Arabidopsis thaliana: one gene and its partners. The protein of the gene in region 3 interacts with the protein of the main gene of each other region in a pairwise test. Each region holds a gene or a part of one and is shown on either strand. Other genes may lie near its edges. The genes, in order: AT5G05190, AT1G29120, RCF3 and AT5G06770.

What was found.
Region 1: the proteins of RCF3 (region 3) and AT5G05190 interact in a two-hybrid assay, tested with the Arabidopsis thaliana proteins (one large-scale study listed by BioGRID).
Region 2: the proteins of RCF3 (region 3) and AT1G29120 interact in a two-hybrid assay, tested with the Arabidopsis thaliana proteins (one large-scale study listed by BioGRID).
Region 4: the proteins of RCF3 (region 3) and AT5G06770 interact in a two-hybrid assay, tested with the Arabidopsis thaliana proteins (one large-scale study listed by BioGRID).

The regions. Positions count from the first base shown.
Region 1 is NC_003076.8:1,539,588-1,544,662, reverse strand, and holds AT5G05190 (hypothetical protein (DUF3133)), read right to left. Parts: upstream 3,446-5,075; 5' UTR 2,811-3,445; coding exon 2,690-2,810; intron 2,515-2,689; coding exon 788-2,514; 3' UTR 526-787; downstream 1-525. Other genes in the region: AT5G05200 (Protein kinase superfamily protein), read left to right, coding at 20-136, 275-457. UniProt on the Arabidopsis thaliana protein: Plays a negative role in salicylic acid (SA)-mediated resistance to powdery mildew (e.g. Golovinomyces cichoracearum). May modulate plant immunity by regulating the relocation of EDR1 by interacting with CHC2 and modulating endocytosis.
Region 2 is NC_003070.9:10,172,531-10,179,044, reverse strand, and holds AT1G29120 (Hydrolase-like protein family), read right to left. Parts: upstream 4,859-6,514; 5' UTR 4,565-4,858; coding exon 4,375-4,564; intron 3,833-4,374; coding exon of another isoform or gene 3,830-3,832; coding exon 3,682-3,829; intron 3,454-3,681; coding exon 3,386-3,453; intron 3,045-3,385; coding exon 2,974-3,044; intron 2,858-2,973; coding exon 2,612-2,857; intron 2,305-2,611; coding exon 2,141-2,304; intron 2,059-2,140; coding exon 2,003-2,058; coding exon of another isoform or gene 1,974-2,002; exon of another isoform or gene 1,911-1,973; coding exon 1,855-1,910; intron 1,432-1,854; coding exon 1,263-1,431; coding exon of another isoform or gene 1,234-1,262; exon of another isoform or gene 1,185-1,233; coding exon 1,087-1,184; coding exon of another isoform or gene 1,051-1,086; exon of another isoform or gene 1,007-1,050; coding exon 902-1,006; 3' UTR 899-901; exon of another isoform or gene 815-898; 3' UTR 524-814; downstream 1-523. Other genes in the region: AT1G29140 (Pollen Ole e 1 allergen and extensin family protein), read right to left, coding at 1-16; AT1G29110 (Cysteine proteinases superfamily protein), read right to left, coding at 5,974-6,514.
Region 3 is NC_003076.8:21,513,072-21,519,047, reverse strand, and holds RCF3 (RNA-binding KH domain-containing protein), read right to left. Parts: upstream 4,153-5,976; 5' UTR 3,694-4,152; coding exon 3,004-3,693; intron 2,763-3,003; coding exon 2,319-2,762; intron 2,231-2,318; coding exon 1,982-2,230; intron 1,896-1,981; coding exon 1,647-1,895; intron 1,446-1,646; coding exon 1,375-1,445; coding exon of another isoform or gene 1,371-1,374; exon of another isoform or gene 1,343-1,370; intron 1,283-1,342; coding exon 1,174-1,282; intron 1,078-1,173; coding exon 951-1,077; intron 871-950; coding exon 851-870; 3' UTR 501-850; downstream 1-500. Other genes in the region: AT5G53070 (Ribosomal protein L9/RNase H1), read right to left, coding at 62-211; AT5G53050 (alpha/beta-Hydrolases superfamily protein), read left to right, coding at 5,616-5,736, 5,826-5,976. UniProt on the Arabidopsis thaliana protein: Acts as a negative regulator of osmotic stress-induced gene expression. Involved in the regulation of thermotolerance responses under heat stress. Functions as an upstream regulator of heat stress transcription factor (HSF) genes.
Region 4 is NC_003076.8:2,090,187-2,094,547, forward strand, and holds AT5G06770 (KH domain-containing protein / zinc finger (CCCH type) family protein), read right to left. Parts: upstream 2,816-4,361; 5' UTR 2,602-2,815; coding exon 2,523-2,601; exon of another isoform or gene 1,994-2,522; coding exon of another isoform or gene 1,981-1,993; coding exon 1,920-1,980; exon of another isoform or gene 1,393-1,919; coding exon of another isoform or gene 1,334-1,392; coding exon 751-1,333; 3' UTR 517-750; downstream 1-516. Other genes in the region: LEA4-5 (Late Embryogenesis Abundant 4-5), read right to left, coding at 41-127; EML2 (Emsy N Terminus (ENT)/ plant Tudor-like domains-containing protein), read right to left, coding at 3,961-4,007, 4,097-4,160, 4,258-4,326.

The DNA of each region.
Region 1 (5,075 bases), about 20 Mb from region 3:
AGTGAATCTCTTCTTGCAGGAACTAGATACAGAGATAGTAGTGGCTACAGCTCGTGGAACAAATTCAGACACTACTGCTGTTGCTGCTAACGTAGTTATGGATGAGAGACAGATGAATGCTCTTTTCCTCGACCTGGTAAGCAGTTAGACGTAATTTCTTAAGGATTTTTTTTTGGTTTGAAAGTTGTTAAGAGGATATAGAAGTTGCATTGAGTTAAGATAAACCCCAGGATTTGAGCTTTCAGCAGTTGAAAATAAGTTCACTTTCTTATAGGTGCGTGTTAGCGAATCATATGGTCTTAAGTTCCCGAGAGAGTTTGCACTTCTGTTGAAGCAACTTCTGTACTTCGATCGATACACAAGACTATTAGCCCCAAACCTGAACATGCTGCAGGATCAGCGGATCTCTATCGCGTCCAACAAGAGGACGAATGGATACAAGGACAGCTTCAACTAAGTTTATGCAAATATACTTCACTAAACCTATTCAAACTTTTTATTTATTTACAAGTGGTAATGTTATAGTAGATTATCAAGCCAAGAACGATGATGAATTCAATCTTGTTACAAACATATCATGACTATATACAACAGATGAACTATATCTTCTTCTATTTTTTTGTATAATTTTTCACAAGTGTCATGGTTTCTACTTTAAACAAAAGTGCAGAGACAAATCTTTTACCTATACACAGAAGTGAAATAAAGAATGGCAAACAATGGCAAAACTTTCCATCTCAGATTCTCAGAAGTTCATAGTTCTCGTTGCTTCATCTGAAGCAGAGATCTATATAGAAGGAGGACGCTGTGAAACTTTAAAGACTTGGCTTACAGTAGAATATCCCATTAGTCGGTGAAGCGGAGAGCCTCTAGCCACAGGTAGCTCCTCATCCTGAACAGAGGATCTCAGCTTTTCAGGTTTGGAGGGAGCTTTGTCTATGGGAGACTCTGATGTTGAATTGCTATTCCTATTAGCATTTATGTCATGTGTTACTGCAGGAACTAAATGATTTCTGGACTGAAGTGAGAATCTGAGAACAGTGGTGCAAGTGCCGCATCTGAGAAGATGATGTTTCCTCTTGAAAATGAGAAAGTCTACAGGAAGCTGCAGGTTTTCTGAGCAACTGTAACAGCTAACAAAAGGTGCCCCACCAGCTGTTGGACGGACATGACGCTTGGCCACACGTTGTCTCTCTCTTAGACGACGGGTCTGTAACTCATGGTGGTGGCCAGCATGTCTATTACGCTGATGATCCTCCACGTCTGAGACTATCTCACGCCTCCATCTCGGATGATACTCAGGTTGTTCCATTGGTCTCTGTGGACTTGCAGAATATGAACTGTAAGAATTATGAAGCTGACCTGAATACCAACCGCCATGGTTTCTTCCCATTTCACCTGAGATCCTACTTCCTTGGCCCTGACCTCTTGCCCTTGGGTTGTTGTGATACATATAGTCAACAAAATCGTGGTTCATGCCTCCAGCGTATGAAGGCATTTGAAGTGAGTGTGCACGGGGATAGCGATCAAACTCATCATGTGACGGATGGGAAGGGCTTCCACGTGTGTATGATTCTCTCGGATAGAAAGGCATGTCAGGCCGAAGTTGTTCTGTCACATGTCTCCTCCCTTGTCTGCCAAGGCGCCCTCCTGGTCCCTCTAGCTGTAGAGACCTGTTCTGATGCCGCTCGTTGTATGTGGTAATCCCATTGCGCCTATTCTCAGAGAAAGGGGAGGAGGAACTAGCGCCTTGCTCCTTATACCCAGGGTATCTATGCATCTCAAATTTGCCTGATCTTATTTTCTGAAGAGCATTCCATTGTTCGTCATCATCGAGAAGTTGGCCTTCCCTTTCGTCAGAGGAAGACTCACTCCCATCATAAGCAGAAGAAGTCTTGTTTGCAGGATAATCAAGTTGGCTTTGCTTCTCTTCAACAGGGGAAGCATCAGGTGAGATCTCAGCATTGCCAGATGAATTACTCGCTCTTGCAGCCACCACATCATAAGCAGAAGGAGTCTTGTTTGCAAGAATGTCAAGTTGGCTTTGCTTCTCTTCTACGGGGGAAGCATCCGGTGAAATCTCAGAGTTACCGGATGGATTACTCGCTCTTGCAGCCACCACATGATCAACGCTCAAGCTTCCAGAGCTAGATCCAGATCCTGCAGCTTCTGCTACGGTGTTCATCATATGAGACTCCAATCTGGAGTTGTCTTCTCTTTCATTCTTCTCAGAATCACCAAGTGAACATTCCTGCTCTTGAATTTCATTTGTCCCATCTCCATTAGATAACTCTAAGTCATCAAGCTCCTTCTCCGTAGACTCCATGGATGCATTCCTACCTTTCTCATACTCTTGGTCCACGGAACGACCTGGAGATGACGGCAGAACCGTGTCCTGCCCCGAGCTGCTGGACACATTGTTGGTTTCAGGTACGCTTTGCGGCTCATTGGCTTGAGCCCTCTCTGTCTCTCCTGCACTTGGTGTACTGCTTGGAGCAATGTTCCGCCTTTTCGCTGAATCAAAGAAGCAACAACCAAATTTAATAATGAAAGAGATCATGCCACAAAACACAACTGGTTTGAGCTCAGACATCCAAACAGATGGACAACCAGGAGTAGAACAAAGCCAGATTCAGGGACAGAGTTCACATTATAATCAGAGGCAAAATCGAAATGGAAAGAAAGTTACCTTGAAGAATGGCGGAACAACCACCGCACTGATAAACAGGAACATCTTCGTCTTCCTGTAGAATCTTCAAGCACTTGGGACACCTCACCAACCGAATTTTCTGACCCGTCTGGCTCGCCATTGTTGGTACCAAATTTCAAAGACTTAACTCTACTTTTGTTATTTTTGGGTTATAACTCTACCTCATTAGTTAGAGAATCATCATCAACAGAACCCAGAACCCTAATAAACAGAGAGAGAGAGAGGAACCAAAGTAAAAGATTGAAACTTTGTGAAGTTCTTTAAAAGAAAATGGGAGAGGAGACCAGAGGAAGAAGGTCAACGCGGTGTGACTTTTAAGGAGGAGAAATGGTATAACCCGGGTCTGGTCTGAGAGCTGGTTACGGATCCGGGTAGAGATGAAAAATGGCGAGAAGGAAAAGATTACATGATTCAAGAAGCCATGAAAATTGTGTAAGATCCTCCACAGAAGAATCAAAGTAAAACTCTTTGCAGAGAGTTATTATAACTCGAGGGATTGTGGAAGAATAAACCCAGAAGTTGAAGATTTTATAGAGAGAGAGAGAAAGAATGAGATAGAAATAGAGAGGAGAATTTCTTGTCGTGGGGGCGAAGTAGAAGAAGAAGAAGAAGAATTGAGAGAACAGAGACAAAAAAACAAAAACAAATCGTTGGACAGACAGTTTTTTTTTTTTTTTTACTATGGTTTCTCTCTTTTCTTGTTTTTTTCCTCTGAGAAAAGTCTCTCTTTTTCCGTGTCTAAAAAGTTTTTTCTTTTTAATATCTCTTTGAGGAATTTTTTGGTATCTTTTTTCATTCTTGCAAGTCAATTAGAACATCAACGACTCGTTCTCTAATCACTATTCTTTCTTAAACAAAACCCAGTCTGTTGTTGATCTTTTCAATAAACAATATTGGCCCAATTTTTTTCTAAAGAAAGCATCTGCAACAGAGCTTTGTTAGAAGAATTAAGTAGAGGAAGATAAGAGAAAGAGTAAATTGGGTTCAGCTAAATAAAAATTTGGATAAAGAGTTATAAATGGAATGGTGTTGTTAATGTCGGCGCCTGTTTCATTTATTTTGGATAGAGAAATTTTAGCCCCACTACTACTTCCATTTTTCTCATTTATTGATCCCAGTCCTTTTTTTCTTACTTTTTACCATTACCTTCTTAAATATTTCCTAACATTCGAAGTTTGAATATTCCGGTAAATGACTAAATGTTGCCAAGGGAAATTAAATTACCGTGAATGTTGAAATGAATTGGGTTCCACATATTTATTTCTAGGACCTGACAAAAAGCATAATGATCATATGTTTTTCGTATATATATTTATATCACTGGTCGAATTTAACGAACTTTTCATTTTTCTAATGAGAATTCACTAGCCGTGTGAGTGTTTTCAATCACTTTTATTTATAACCAGACAAGTTGAGTCTTTGGTTCATAACCTTTTTAGGTATGAAACCAGTTTTCAAATATAGCACCTACAAAGAATTTGAAATTGATAGCAACGTAACAAAATATTAATCTTCAAATTGGTTCATAAAGTTTTAGGGAACTTGTGAGAAATAAATGAATAAAAGTTTTGTAGGGCTATCTCAAGTCAAATAGTATATATTAAGTATTAACGTACATGTATATCACATTATTTTTTAACGATATGAAAAAAAACTAAGGTAATGGTCGACAGACTCGGTCTTTTATCGTTTTGTGCTGTCTAGTTTCTCTACTTTCTAGATTATCGTTTTGGCTTTGTGATTCTGTAAAAGTCAACCTTTGTTGTGGTGTCCTATTTCTTTGTAGACTTAATTAGAGGTTGCTTCAATATTTGTTTTCTCTGCACAATCCAATGACTAACGGGATACGATTCACAAAACGAATCAAATCAAATCAAGTTCAATACCATTCGAGTCTTCTTCTTCACAGATTACAAATTCGATTATGCGTTGACTCTTTAATTGAGTCAATGGTTTGGACCACTACATGGTTTGTAAATGTTTATTTCTATTTCAAATCGCTAGCTGTTACCTAACATTCAGGACATGAACAAAAACTATCTTACTAAAAAAAAGTCAAAATTAAAGTTTCAAATGTATAAAAGATAATATTGGAGGTCAACTCCCATTTGACAACATTCATATATAGTTATAAATTGATTTTGTTTTTCTATTTACTGTGTTCCCATGATGTTTCGTGAACACATGAAGTTATGGTATTGAATAGAATGGATTTTCTTTTAGTTTTTGGTTTATTCTACAGAACAAGCTCTTGAAATAACTAAAAAATTCACTAACTAAAAACTTGTGATATATACCATGCTGGTTATATTCGCACAACGATTGCAATCATAATTGGCTACTATAGACGATTTAATTGATAAGA
Region 2 (6,514 bases), on a different chromosome or scaffold from region 3:
TGAAGAATTTGGCCATTATGCCTTAATCCTTTTTTTTCTTGTGTTTTTACTTCGGTCTTCTCCTCTCTTGGATTTGAGAGTTTATTTGTAAAATTTAGTTTTTAAGGGAGAACAAATTGTAAGCTTTGGTTGAGAGGAGACGCTATGATAGATCCAACCAAATATCTCCTTTTATAGAGAACAAATAGACAAAACAACAAAACCATGTGATTCTATATCTATTTTTGGAAGTTTTTTTGTTTATTTTTGGTGTTTTTGTTCTTGAGTTTTGTACGGCTGTGTTTTCCTTGAACCCGATCTTTTCTCATTGCCATCTGTTTTTCTTTTCTGTTAATAATTCTTCATAGATTCCGTTTAGGTCTTTTTTGTATGAGGATGGTTTCCCAAATGTCAATCTATAGAATCTTATGTATGTTTAGACCTCCACTAAAAAGATTCAATGGGGGTGGAGAATTATCTACTAGACCCCAAAGTGAAAGTTTTATTAGTAGTAAATGACTAATTAATCTGAGCCGCACATGAAAGCTTTTGCACAATTTTCTTTGAATTAAGAAAAATTCCAAAAACAAATTGACTAGAAACAAATGTCTTCAGCTGAATCTGTTATTTTGAAGAGTAGAGGTTGAACATATATAACTTTTCTCTTTAAGAAACCTTAATCTATAATAACATCTTTCAAGTGTTGTATCATCAACAAGCTAATACAAGAAAATCATGTACAGATGAATTGGATTGTACTTCTTCTGATTTCGCCAAGAAAAAAAATAGAAGAAGCAAAGATGCGAACATTCTTGATCTGCACCGATCTCCCAAACTGTATGGTAAAAGCAAAACACAGGAATGGTTCAAATGTCGTAGCACACTCAGCATTAACGGGTCAAACACTCGAAATGCTCACGATTTATAAGCTGGCGGTAATAAACGTGGAAGACTCTTGCTGTTTTATACTATCTGCAACGTGTGCAATAACTCCAGCTCCTGCTTTGTAAAGTCTTTCACTTTTCACCTGAAACAAGACTCAAAATCTCTGTTAGTCCATGTTTCAAAGAATTAAAAAGCTCCAAAGTGAAGATGTTGGAAGTTTACGTGAATGTTGTTATGAGCTAAGTAAGGCCAGAAGGTGGAGTGGAAGCTGACATCAACTTTCTTCCACCCCAACCTCTGCAGACCGCGGATCATTTCCTCTGCACCAATATTTGTATAAATTGTAAATCTCATGCCGATTTAGAAGAATCAATCAAATGTTTGGGCTAATTCTACACCTTCCACAATTTCATGATACTCAAGTGTGTTCTGAGGGCTAGGAGAGCTTTGTGCGGCCTCCTTGGCTTTAGCAGCTTCTGGAGGGAAATGGGCACCATCTGATGAAACAGGTGGACAGTATTCAACATCAACAACATGCTTGTATCCATCCAGAGACCGGCGTGAAGGCTATATTAAAACAGGGGAAAAACATATCTATCAGATCTCACTCGTGACAGCTAAATAATTTTCAAAGTTTCATTTGACTGGTTACAAGCCACAGAGAGCTTCTTGCACGAAGCTACTTGAGATAAATGAATTGCCGAAAGTATTTTTGGTGATTCTCTACAGACAATTGTTTCATTTCTTAGACTCTTTACCTCTATGAAACTTTCCCTCTATGATTACTCATAATTCCAAAATTCAGGATAAGTTAGCTACCGTTAGCATTTCACAGCAAGCTAACTATCAATATCGATGACCCCATCATCTAGCTAGTGTGTGCTACACGTTTCAGAGTCGAAATCAACTTACATAATAGAAGGAACATGAAAACAAGTGGGGTAATATTAAATAGAAAGGTTCCATTGCTTCATATAGCATGAAACGTACCTTGATAAGTTCAGTTTCTCTCCTAATGGAAGATGTACGCCAACCAACCATGTCTACTTGATGTCAAAGGAAACAGTTCAGAAAACAAATGCAGACACAGCTAGGCACATCTGTACTAGTTAAACAGCAACAGAAATGCACAGGATACGGTCATAAGATACGTTTGCATATATAATGCGACTTCGAAATGCCCCCAGCGCCGATCTGCCAGACAATGAAATGCATTAGGATTACAGATAAGTCATTAAGGGGTCGAATGATTTAAATTGGTAAGAGCATTACTCACAAGAATTTCAGATCTTCACCATCAGATGCCATCCTCAAAAGAAGAGGTGGTTTATCAGCTTTACCATCAGTGAGGAACAACTGACTACCAGTCCGACCAACAAAGAATGGAGCTATTGGTGCAGCAAGTTTCTCAAGAATAGGAACTCCCAACAGAAAAGGCAGCTGATACAAGGGGTTCCAGAAAAAGAGGAGAGAATGAGATAGAATTTACAGGGATTATCAATTAATATTCATCACTCATCAGTCTAGACACTTAGGGGACCAAATAGCAAAAAACGCAAGACAGTTTTGATGAAACTTATGATATCTGTCTGAACACAAGGAGAAGGTAGATGAAATTTACATGTGAAAAACGACTAACTACTTTCTTAATTACGCATACACCACATCTACGTACAGGTACTGCGAGATATATATGAAACTCTTTGATTCCAAAATTCCAATTATGATAAGTAGAGAAGAAGAGAACCTGCTTTCTGCCTCTCACTCCTAGATGAGGTGTTGCCAAAGTGATGAAATTAATCGGTTCTAGCCCCGCAATCCTACCTCGCAGAAGATTTGAATTGCCAGATTGAGAGACAGCAACATCACTTACTTGTGCCATTGCTGCTGAGTAAAGAACAGCAACAGCATGTCTGGAAAATAAGCCACCGAGGGAGTGGGCTAAAAACGAAATCTTCTTTAAGCTCTTGCTCTTTTGGACAACTTGTCTAACCTATTCCTCTCTCACATCCAGAATGGGAACAGAAATCAGCTCATGTACTGAAGTTAAGGGCTAGAAAACCAAGACCTACCTATACACGAGGTGCAAATGAAGATATTAAAACTCACCTCTTCTGCTAGTCGTTTTCCAGCTCCATCGATCCCGCCAAATGTTTTAGTGAAGGTATTGGAAGAACTTGCTGTGAATGTTCAGGAGAAACAGAGTAAATTAAAACACATCACGTGTGATCCATTCCACGCATAGCATAAAAGCACATGAGTATTATAATAAAATACAAAACTAAAGAAGAGTTGTGGTTCCAGACGAAAAGATCTTAAATTTTTCAAGAAAATGTATATTTCGCCTCTTGCCGCTAAAGATTATATAAGACCTTGAAGTGTTTTCAATTTTGTGCCCAGCACATGCATTCAACTTACGTTACCATTTCATTCCCAAAAATTCTCTTCTATTATACATACAATCCAACAACTACTCAACTAAACTAATAGATGATAACAATTTAGAACAAGATGAGCATACCATAAATCAAGAATCTTCTTCCAAGGCGTCTTTTCAGCTCAGCTTCTACGTAGAGCCAGTCGCTGGGACTGCAAGTAATTGTGTCTTAGTAAATTTGGAGTCTATAAATTATTCAATCTGAAAACAAAGTAGCAGAAATGATAGACATAACTTTCTTTCTTTTTTTTGACAATGATAGACATAACTTTCAAATTCAAATACTTGCAAGTTTCTATCCAACCTAAAACAAAACCATGAGGGTTTCCCAAGATGCAAACCCAGTACCATTCAATTGATGAACTACTTAGAAATAATACCTGGCCAAAATACCATGTACAAGAACAAGAAGATGATCAGGTTCATTTTTGTCATCGGAGTCGCCTTTCGATAGCGAAAATTTCCGTTGGGCTGTGGAACTCATTGCCTGAACCCTGCGTCCCTGTTGGTTCCAGCTTCTGTTTGACCCTTCTTAAAGAAAAATCAAACAAATGAACCCGCGGAAAAAGCTATAAAGAACAGAGCCAATTCTTAACCAAACAAATCATACTATCACCATTTCTACTTAGCTTCTCACAATCATTTAACATGTTCAAGCTTATTTTCGATCGCAGAAACAGGGAAAAATCTGTTTAAATAGACACCGAAATTGTGAGCTCTAAATCAAAAGAAAAACAGAGCCGATTCTTGACCAAACAAACCATACTATCACTAATTCTACTTGGCATATCACAATCATCTAACATCTTAAAATCTTCTATCTCTTGCAGAAACAGGGACAAATCTGTGTATATAGACACTGTAATTGAGCTCCTCCTCAATCTAAATTAGGCGATACTATTCTTCACCATCCTAAACAACGTCTTTGATCGAGAAATCCTCAGCTATGAAACTTTGCAGTACAATGTCAGGTCATTTCCAGATGTAACAACGCATCATTCGATAAACATGAACAAAGTAATCAATCCCTAAATCTACACGACAAACATCATTCGAAGATCAAAGCCTATTACCGAAATCGAAATTCAAAATCTCCGAATAACCACAGGAGCACGAGGATGAAGGCGAAGGAGAAGAAGCGGAAGCTGAAACAACGCCGGAGGAAAACTGCCGCGCGCTGCGAGAGCTTGGCTTAGAGAAACCGCCACGATCCGGTAAGTATCTAAAAGGAGGTTGTTGAATCCAAGAAGAAGCCGTAGACATATTGATGTTGAGCTTATATATAGAGAGAGGAGAGAAAGTCAAAATCAGAGAAAGGAGTGGAAGAAAGATCCTTGATTCACGGTTTCTGAGTGACGTCACGCTTCAGAATCAAACATAATAACTCTCTCTACGTTATCTTCTTCACAGAGACCCATGCTCCTCTCTATCTCTTCCATTCACTGCCAAATAAACATTCAATCATCATCTTCTTCGACTTTTGCCAATTTATATAATTTGATTTTATTACTTTTACTTTATAATTTCGGGTGGTGCGTGTTGTTGTTAGGCGACTCAAACACAGAATATTTTTATTCCGTTTTATATTCAAAAAAAGGTTTAGAATCGGACCAGGTTCTTCTTCTTCTTCATCAACCAATTCACTCCAAAACAAAGGTCAAAAGAATACTATTTACAATTTTTTGGTATATATATATATATATATTTTCTGTTTTAAATTTTTAATCAATACTGCTAGTAGTTTTTTTTTCTTTTTTTTGGTGTAAATGGTAAGATAACACCAAAATATATTTGTCTACTAAACCGAGTAAAATTTTTATGGTTTTTGTAAAAATCCAATTGTTAACTTGTTAGTGATGCTTTCCAAAAAAGCCCTTACATGATATTGTCAAAGGGGTATCTAAATATCATATGGTGCGAATTGGTTATGTATATGTAGTGTACTAGTGTGTCGTCGTGGACCTCGAGGTATCATATGTAACCGGGTGTTGTAGATGTTGTTATATTGAAACTAAACTTTTATTTGGACAAGTTAAAAAAACAAATCAAGCTTAATGATGGATTCATATATAATTTTTTTTTGTTTTTTTGCTAATCTACTTATAATACTGCCTAAGGTATCTTAATCATAAGGATATCATGTCAAGATATCCATTATTGGTCGCAGAAATTTAAAGAGTTCCAATTCCTTTTCACAAAACGTTGCAACAATGTTGCCGCTTACCATTTAGCTAATATGGATGTGTAGATTCACCTTTCTATTTGGATGTCTCTAATCCAGCCCCATGGATTTGCCATCATTTGTACTAGTTTGATATTCGATTAAAGTTAATAAAGGTTCATTTTCGATGAAAAATAAAATCAAAATCTACTTGTAATTAACACGTCTTACACTATAATTTTAGTTTTATTAGCGATAATTTTAAATTTGGTTTTAAAATTTGCATTGAAAATTCAAACAATGTTTCTTATGGAACACGATTTAAGTGAAAAACACATCCCTTTATTTATTATGAAAGTGAGGGAAATACGTTTATATGGAGTAATAAAATGAACATATTACAGTTTTTAAGGTCAAGTTTAAGTTGCAATTTTACCACATGTAAACAATCATAAACCAGGCTACAAAATGTATGATCACTTCAATATAAAAAACCACCTAAGTAAATTAGTTAAAAAACCGGATAAGCAGCAACCTGAGCTATACCACACATTCCTTGAGGCCACTCCACATCTCTACGGATCCTCATGTAACCATTTTCTCCCCAACTCTCACCCCAAGAGTTCTTAAGAACCCAGTAGTTGAGCCCACTCATCGTTCCGTACCCAACGATCGTCACTGCATGATTCACGTCTGTCCCACAGTCCAGCCCAGCGTACACTCCCCCTTTGTAATGACCGAAACTGTCCGCTCTTGCGTCAATCAACACCGAGACGGGCTGTCTTCTTACGGCCTCGAGCAACGCACGCTCGTTGTGGCTTGGAACCATTTGAAACCCTCTAATCTGTGTATGTGGGGCGCGTCTGGCGTTGGCACGACAACTCTCCTTTTTCACTTGGTAAGGGTATTCCGTTTCTAAAGAAACGCCTCCGTTTTTTATTATGTACTTGAAAGCTTCTTCAAATTCTCCGCCATTGCAACCACCGTTTTTCTCTATGTCGCAATCTATTAGCTGTTGTTCGGACAGTGTTAATAGATTTTTGCCAGATATC
Region 3 (5,976 bases):
GTGAAGGAAATTTCAAAATCAAACGATAAAAATCATGCCTTTCAGAATCATTAAACCTCACCGTTGTAAGAATAACTTCTAATTTTCTGTATCGAACTCCTTGACAAGCGAAAAGGAGAGGATGATGAATCGCATTTTCATACTTGTGATAAGCTGTTCCTCTCGAGACTACATGCCGAATCACGTTTCTACTTTGCCCAACATAAGCCATTTTCTCGATTCAACAATATTCAGTGCGACAGTCTACAAAGAGAGATTCCACAACAAGGAGTGAGAAAACCCTAGAAAACGACGGATATAAGAGAACAGAGAAAACAAAAAGAGAAGTTAAGGAAGAATCAATCACCAGTGAAGCGGCAATGCTACGACGGTGGAAATGGCGACGGCGGTGCGATGCGACGTCTCTTTTTCACGAACTCGAAGAAAGGTGAAGCCGCAGGTGAGGTTTTAGCAGTGGCTATTTTTGTAAAATACGACTTAAGATTTATCTATGTTTTCACCCTAAACTTTATCTAGGGCAAAAACACCCCAATCTCAATGATGTTAACTCAAGTGAAACGCAGCGTTTAAGTTCTTCCAATATACATAGGGGTGGTGTGAATTAAAGATGAGTCTTTAATGATTAGTCATTCGGATTAAACTTTAATGACTTTTTTAAATAAGTTACAGAACAATGTAAACAAAGAAGACTAATAGACAACATAGAAACCAAAGAGTGATGGTCAAAATGTGGAATGTTCATCTAAACTACTGCTTACTGAAATCCTAATATTCAACAAGTCATACATAACTCCACATTTCTCAGTTTCTTGATCTTCATCTCTGTGTTGACTGATGATCTGGTCCAAGTTCACGGTCCATCCTCTTGTACTGCACCAAACAAGGAACGGAAATCAGACTTATAGATCAGTACAATACGGATATAAAAGTTTGGAAAGAGAGAAACTTACTGCTCAAAATGAAGCCTTGAAGCAAACTCTGAGCTCTCTCTGCTTGCTCGGGTGTACCCGAAATTCGAATGATATTCTGTGTTTCTTCTGGTCTGTCTTCAACTATGGTTACACTAGCTCCAGACCACTGTGATCAAGTGGGAAAGAGATAAGACAAAGCGTCAAAGATTTTGATTAGAGTCATGATTTGCACCAATCTAGTTCCAGTTAAAAAGAGTTCTACCTCACTGATTTGTGCAAGCTTGTTTCTTGATTTCGTAACGAGCTTAGGAACAACCGCCTCTGGTAAGACAACTTCAAGAGTGCTTCTAGTAACAAGTGGTACCGCCATTCTAGAGAAAAAAACAAAAAGCAGGAAGGAAAGGTGTGAAACAAGCACTTGTACGGTTTTGGGAAAATATATCAAATTTGGGAGTTTCTCTACCTGCTTGTCGTGACAGGAACCTCTTCCCGGTGTTCACTTTCACCCGCCTTTGCAACTGATCCGAAACCTTCCTATAAAAACCAAGAGAAAAATATATGTAAATATAGGGACATTGCACGAATGGACAAGAACCATAGACTACTTTCCAAGTATTCAGGTAATTATGCATAGCCTGATAGTAATATTACATTGTTTCGATGGCAAAAATAAGTCTGACCCTAACTGATTACAGATGCCTTTATATTGAAAAGATTGTTGATGAGAACAAAAACCTTAAACTGTGGCAAGATTGTGCTAACTTGCTGCAAGTTCAGATTCGAACTAGTAGGACCTTCACGAGATTGAATTGTGTTATTTGATGAAGCTACCTCCATTACTCCTGCAACACCTTCGAGAGGGCCAGTTGTGGATGTGGAAGCTGGTGGTGTCTCCTTTTGAGAGAGCTCCTTGAACATATGACTCCTCAATAGTAATGTTAATTCAACAAGTGCTTCCCGAGCAGCTCTGATCTCGCCAGTAATCTACATCGACATTCACATAAGAATTCTCTTTTGAGACCAGAAGTTGTTTAGAAAATGCTCGACTCCTCAAAAATAGACAAACATACCTGTATAACAACATCATTGATAGAAGCACATCGGGGAATTTCTTCCCTAGCTAGAATTTGTACGCTTGTTCCAGTTAATCGTGATATCTCAGATACTGATCCTGCTTTCCCTTCCAAACATATAGAGTCTCTAGATGGGACAAGTAATCTTGTTGTTATTAAATTATCTTTATCCGGAATAAGATCTATGATCTGAGTTTGAATGTGCAACAAGGCTTCTTGAGCAGGGAAAAATGGATCATCAGGTGCCTAAGCAAAGTAAGAATACAAAACTTCAAGTTCACAATTGTAAATGTAACAGATAATATTGAAGAAGATCTGAGGGTATTTAGAGTACCTCTTCCGAAGAAATGGTGATTATCTGTTCATCAGATCCAGCAACTGGGTCAGATACTCTAACGTCCACGCCGATCTCGTTCTGAAGCAAATCAATTATTCCTTGCGATTCCCCAACAACCCGAACAATCTTGTCAGCTGGGCAGAGAATCTGGAACACAAGCTCTTCGGAGTAGACATTCTCACCAACTGGAACTGCTGGAGCTTCTTCTGCATAGTTGGACTGGCGAGAACTGAAGTTGTTATTTCTAAAATTACCACGAGGAAACCTATCGGATGATTGTCTTCTTAGCTGTGGCATGTAATCATCCCCCGCAGCTGCAAACGACCGTTCTGGTGAATGTGAACGCCCTTGGAAATTACTCCGATCACGATGCTGACTCTCCCTTAGACGAGATGATACAATGGCTAAAGCGTTTTTCACTGCATTTAGTTCACCTACAATCTGAAAGAACCAACATTATAAATGCATTTCCCATAGGTAGAAAACACCAAAGAAAGCTTAAACATAACAAATAATGACCAAGCTAACTACATAAGAGTGATTCAACTCTTGTCAACAACCTCAACCTCACAATCACACATTTAAATTATCTAGCATTTCAATAAACTGACTACATTTCATATCAAAATCTCAACAAGATTCACCATTTCAAATATGTTCTCAAAATAGCAATTTTTCAGACCTGAACAATCTCTTCAGAGAGTGAAACACAACGAGGTAAGTTACTTTCTCTTGGAAGAATCCGAATATGAGTCTTAGTTTCAATCCTCATCTGCTCAATAATCTTCCCACCTTTACCCAACAAACAACCAACATGCATCCTAGAAACCACTAATCTAGTCACAACTCTCCCTCCACCAGGTCTAACTCCACCGTAATCCTCCTCCTCTTCCGGCGGAGGTCCACCATAACCAAACTGAGCTTCACTCTCCAAAATCCTGTCATGAACACTAAACAAAGCCTCTTGAGCAGGAGAGAAAGACGGCATTCTCCCATCAGGGTCACGCCTACGATTATCAGAAATCTCAATGATACGCTCTGCATCTCCAGGAACTAGCTCGTGCACGTTAATCCACGCGCCGGTGTGTTGCCTTATAGATTTGATAATTGTCCCGGATTTACCAATAACACCTCCTGCTTTAGCGTCGTGACAGAGGATTCGATAAGTCGTTGTTGCCATCGTTTCAGGATGAGACTTCGATGGCCGGCCATTTCCACCTCCACCACCGCCGCCGCCACGGTATCTGTTATTTCCTCCGCCGCCACCACCAAAGTGGTAATTATTGTTGTAGCGAGGTTTAGACCTAGGCATGGAATCTCCGTCATAGTCTTGGTCATAGTGGTAGTTTCTCTTGGATCTAGATCTCTCCATTTGAATAAAATCGCAAACCCAGAAATCAAAGTTCAAATCTTTAACTAGTCATTTATCAATCTCGCAGCAAATTTTTCGAATTCGAGGGTTTTCTGAAGGATTAGAAAGTTCACAAGCCCTAGAAGGAAGTCTACAGTACCCAATTACTTTCCTTTTTACCGGAAATTGAAAAAGGAAGGAACTTTCCGGTCAATTTCACAGGAATACTTGGAGGGAGAATTCAAGAATGTCCAAAATCGATGGAGGCGAATCGGTGCAATGCAAAAATCACCAGCTTTTTGTGTGTTTTGAGGGTTCTTTCCTGTGAATCTAAAAAGCCAAAGCTTTTTGAAGTTTGAGAGTAGAGAGAGACCGTGCAATGGGTGATGTTAGTGGCGTGCGCTAACTACGATATTAGCTACTCCCAAACGTTGTCGTTTTGGTCTCTTGGGAAATTTGGGTATGCTTCATCTTTAAAAACTCGTATTAAGCTAAATAAATTGTTAGACAAATGAATCGTCATCAGATTTTCGCATAGTTATTAGCACTGATGAAGATGAATTTTTGTGCTCACGTAACGTATTAGTAGATACTAAAAATGTATAAATAATTTTTTTCTAATAGGTAAAAATGATATGATTAATACGTAACCAATTAGATGATTTTTCGTGTTATGTACGAGACTAAAACTGTAGACACGTATGTGTTTTTTTCTAATTTAATTTTTAACTATTTATTAACCGCGGTATTATGTAATTAAGTACATATACTAAAACTGTTTTTGGAAAACAAAAAATCCTTTTAATATTTACCAGGTAAAGTATAATTGGTTTAGTGTTAAAGTTTAGCATATGGTAAAAATCATTTGGTGCATCTAAGTATTGCATCCGTTGAATACCATTTTCATCACCAATCCGTAAGGACAAAAAACGATTTACTATCCCTTTTCAGCAATTTAATTTGTATTGCTTCATTGACAAAATTAATTTTTCAAGAGTTTAAAAATAAAGAAACCAAACTCTCATTGCACTTTAAGTCTTTAACTAAATGATCACTTTTGATGAAAAAAAAAACTAAGGATCAGTTCACAAAAACAAGCAATAACAAATTAACAATACAAGAAAATCGTCTCGCACTTATGGTCAAAGACTCAAAGCTTAAGTTGTTGGTGGATCGTTTCGTCTAAATTGTGAGCCTTGACGGGCATAAGTACTTTCCAAATGATAGGTCTTCCCAACAAATATTTTCCGTTTCAGGAGAAGGTATTGCGTTTTCAGGTTGTGCTACGACAAGATGGTGACCTAAACTATATATAATGAAAAAGCAGCCACGAAGTCATGGAGGTTTTATTATCACATGTCCTGGTGAACAATTATCTAGTGTCCAGCATAAAATGTCAGTAACGATCTTGCCTTGTTTTGTGTCTCGATCTGTCTTCTCCTGAAACCACACCAATATAATATAAAGCAACGCGGATCAAAATAGCAAAACATTATAAAGTTCAACAAATTGAACCGGAGATTAAAATAGTGTAGTGACTACTTCAACAAATGGTCTAAGTTGCTATTGTTTTAGGTTAATGCTCCACTTGTGTTCAGACCCATTATCGCTTCTCTTATATATGATGCATATGAATTCCATTGACGTAGTACTACTTCTACTTCTAGCGTTTTTCACGTGCTATATTTCTATACAACATAGTTTTCTCGTGTAAAAAATTTGACCGTTGACCTTTGTTAGATATTACCCGCCAATAAAATCCAGCCGACCAATCCTACGTGGCAGTCCTAACCTCCACCCAAAAAACCGAACCGAACCACACCACAGACCCAATCTCTCTCTCTTCCGATAGAAAAGTCCTTTCCTTTCTTCTCCTCTTCTCCTCTCCGGTTATTCAAAATCTGATCCCACCCAGATATCAGAGTTTGAGAACAAAAAAAGCGATGCCGTTTTGCGAGGTCGTGAAAGAAGATGTCGGCCCAGAGACGACGCTTAACAATGCCGCAATCAAAATCTTCTACAGAACGTACGGTCATGGTCCTATCAAAGCTCTTCTCATCATAGGTCTGTTGTAATCTCCATCTTTCCCATTTGATTAGTTTCCTTAGCAATTCCGAGCTTGATTTCAATTGGGTTTTTCTAATTTTGTTCAGGTTTAGCCGGAACCCATGAGTCATGGGGTCCTCAAATCATGGGATTGACGGGAACGGATAAACCCAACGACGATGATGACGACGACGGAGGAATTGTTTCCGATGATTCCGGCATCGAGGTTTGCGCTTTCGATAATCGTGGTATGGGTCG
Region 4 (4,361 bases), about 19 Mb from region 3:
TTTTACATCAATAAATTAATAATAACCACAATTCTGTTACCTTTTCCTCCAAGGTAGCTTTGGTTTTGTCCATGCCAGATTTTGCAGAAGCTGCAATATTCGAAGCTGTTTCTTTCATCGACTGCATTTTTACCAAATCTCTCTCTTTTCCTTTAGCGAAATTCAAAGATGTTACAAAGATATCTTCTGATTACTTTTGTTTATTGTTTTGCTCACCGAGCATGTCCCATAGATATAGCCATAGGCCTCGCGTTCGTCACGATAGTTTAATATTTAATTACGTTCTTGACGACACGTCAGTGAGACGTGTCATGAAAGAAGAGGAAGAAGAGGTGGTAGGCTTTGTGTTTCAGTTATTGGTCCTACACGTGTTGGAAAGCCTTTGAGTCGTTGAGAAGATAGATGTTGACGCGTGTTAGGCTTTAGAGTTCGCCTCATGTCGGCGGTTAACCCGGTTTTGTAATCGATAGGTTAAGACAAAACAAGTATATTATTGTGCATGATATCTTAAGAGTTAAGACAAAAATAGTATGTAGCTGTAATATAAGGGTTTTAACATATCAAAGTCTTTTAACTGTGATCGGTAACTTACAGAACTCGTCGAATCTTCAGAGCTCAATACAGAATGGGCTAAAGTTTTCAAAGCGAGTCGCATAAAACAAATTGATAAAACAAAAAGAGAGAGCAAAAAGTCACAATGATAATGGAGCTAACAATGCATAATCTGTTCTCAAGAGTCTAAAGACATAACTAAGCGATTCCTGACCTGCGCAGCTCAGATTCACCATGAGCAAAATGGCATCTATCTCCATATGTACAGTTCCCTTTAGAGTACCTATCACAGATCTTGGTTTTGTAGTTGCTCCCAGGATGTGGTTTCCCTTCAGGACCACCAATCCCTTGAGGTTTCTTCACTGATCCAAGCCTCCCTATAAGCTCTCTCACCATCCCACTCGCTACATTGATCTGTTCAAATGTTCCTTCCAGCTCGATAATCTTCAAGTTTGGGTCTCTTTCATGATCTTTAATCGATAATTTTGCTCCTGTTTCACGGCATATCTGTTTGGAATGGATTCCACCTTTTCCAATGATGGCACCGGCTAAAGAAGCATCTACACTGATCTTGGAAGTAGAAGCACCAAAGATTGAAACAGGGCCTGATCCTGGATCTCCTCTCCCTGAGAATCTGCCGCCGGGACCACCAGATCCTTGCATATTTCTGGAAACTTGAGAAACCGGTGGTCGGAGATTTGTCATCTGCGCTGCAGCATTGTACCCACCGGGCACATAGTGCAAGAAGTGGCAATTGTCACCAAATGGACATCCAGAAGTGCTGCAGTACAAACCATAATGCATCAGCAAATTCATTCGAGAAAGAACAAAACGACACATCTCCAAGCTGTTGCACTATTGCTACCTTCTCGAAAAAGCTATAGCGTTTTAGTACAAAGATAATGAAAGAAATTTATAAAGTAATAAAACAGATTGTAGTCATTATGCATCACCGATGAACAACACGTTGCACAGGAGCCGAAAGACTCATGGATAGTTCAAAGATAATGCAAGAAGAACCTTACTTGAGAACAATGGTTTTATGCTGCATATGCAAAATTACAGTTTCCTTACCATCAAACAGAAGAAGAATAAACAAATTGTTTACAACGACAGCCACAAAAACAAGTTTTGGTTGATTTTGTATATTAGATTCACCAGTAGAGTTCAGTTCCAAAATTATACTCCATATAAGCTTATCATCCATTCTTAGGAGGAATCACAGTTTGTTACATTGACTTTTTAACTCGTTTAAGGATGAACAGTGCTACGTACCTGTATAACAACTATCCACTTCATTAGCACACTTTATACAGTATTACTTCTTAATTTCATGATCCAATCAGGAAAAAAAATAGATTTATAACCTGAAAAATTTAGTGCATGGCTTGGATTTGCTTCCTAAACCAGTTGAAATTGATTCCATCTCTGTTGCAAACATTAAGTGCTTTTACTTGGTTAAACTTTTCTACAATTTTCTCAATACATATCATTTGGACTTGGCACCAGTATACCATTCTGGTTTTGAAAATTTCCAGGGTTATAGAGTTTTGAAATTGAACTCAACAGCTTGAGTTGATACAGATCAATATATCAATCAAGTAAATCCAGTAATGTTGAGTGGTCACAAAGGCTAATGGGAGTTGATTGATGAATCCAATGAATATGAGAAGAAGGGTAAGCCAATAGCACAACACAAAGCAGAACAAGATACAAACTTCTCATATCAATTGTCTCCCAACTCTCAAGTAAGGTAATACCAGACTGAAGCAGAAAAAGGGTTTGCGACTAATCTCTCTAATGAACACAAAAATGAACAAAGGAACAACCTTTACGAGAGACAGAGCACACATTGCAACTAGAAATGAACAAACATAAGTGATACCAAAACATTCTCTCTTGTTGTGAAGATCTCGAATTTCTAAAACCCAATTGGAGACAATAGGAAGGAGAGGAGTGAAAGAACAAACCTTGCTTAGACCTCTTGAATCCGCCATTGGAGTTGTGAGAGGCAGCAGCTTCAGGGCGTCCTCTCTTACGAGCATCCATGTCTCGATAAGATCGATTGAATCGGAGTAGGTAGAATCGAAGAAAGATGAAATGAGATCTCAAAGTTTTGTGATATGAGCTTTGCGATTCTTATCCTTTTAAAATTCTATTGGGTTTATCATCATCATCATCATCTCCACACACACAGCTCAACAATATAAATGGGGGATAGAGGTTTGCTTAATTTGTTAATAATATAAATTAATTCGTGGAACACCAAAAGACCAGGAGACTAATTCCATTATTAATTATATGGATTACTATAAATTTAAAGTATATACATTAACATTAGAATGAATTTATGTTTTGACAATAATAGAGTTTATTTGATGAGACTGGAATCAAACTTGTACTCATGCAAGTAATAAACACCAAAAAAATATTCAACTCTGATTATTTGTACACATATTACTTTATATTTATTGTTAATTCACATCCAGTGGTTTCAAAAATAGAGAATTGTTAAATTTGCGCGTTTTAATTGTTTTATCATAGTCACATTAGTTTTAATATATTCAAAAAATACAGAAAAAATAATTTGGGTAACGAGTCATTTGTAGAAATTTTGGAAAAAAATCGTTAAGTTTGGCGCGTTTTAATTTTTTATCATAATCACAGTAATTTAAACTAAAAAGTAGTATTTTTTTCTGATAACTCTATCAATAACATTCAATCTAAAAAAAATACGGAACATATAATTTGAATAATCGATCGGTTTAAGATTGCCATTAAGATTGAACATATAATTGCCATTAAGAATTAAGATTGTCATTTTAACAAAAGAAAAATTATAAAAAATTTCTAACATCGGGTCGATAAGACGATAACCCTGATACTAATTTATTGTTAACCGTTCTTATAACCATTGAATATATTTTTTTAAAACAATAAAATAAATTGAAGTAAAGTAACCATTGAAATATTTTTAAAATTGAAGGATTCAGTGACAGGTGATTTATGTTGATCTCACTTTCCATCTTATATTCTTGCTAATTGAATCAGATTTTGAATGTTATGCTCAAAGGTCAAAAGCCTCTTCTCAATATTTACATGCTTGGTTCGATTCTTTTTACATTGTTTAGACAGGAATTGGGGATTTGAGCAAGTAAATTATTAACGATCCTGATGGCAAGCCTGATGATGATCACACAAGTTCAGAATTTTTTTTTAAAAATAGTGTTTTTACAAACAAAATTCCTAACGATTATTTTCATACATTCTGAAACCACAAATTAGAAGAATACTACTAATTGTTCATCATATATGAACAAAATCATTTTCTGGGATCCCTTAAAGCAAAACAGAAGAAAAAGAAATATTGCTAGTCATTTTTCCTAGGGGTGATGGTGTCATACATACTCACCCCAGCAGCATTGGAAGCTCATGCGAATACGGTTCTTCTCCATCTGGTTCACCAGCACAAATTATGTTGTTGTTAGTGATCTTAGTGCATGACAAATAGAAATAAACAAAGGCCGCTGTTCACATTTATTACCGCTTTCGTAATCAGAAGCATCCGTAAGCCTTGCAATGGCAGCAATAAGCGCCTGTTCATGTTCCTATATCATCCAATAACAACAACACCAAGTTTCACTTCACTGTTTCTTTCAATCGATATCTCGTCACAAAGTTCTTATCAATTATCATATCGCTCACCTTGAGTAGCTTCTTGGCCTTATCAAGCTCATGTGGATCAGGAAGGTTTGAATCAAAAACTCTCTCGACCTAATGCGAAAGATTTCGACATCAAAAACCCTTTT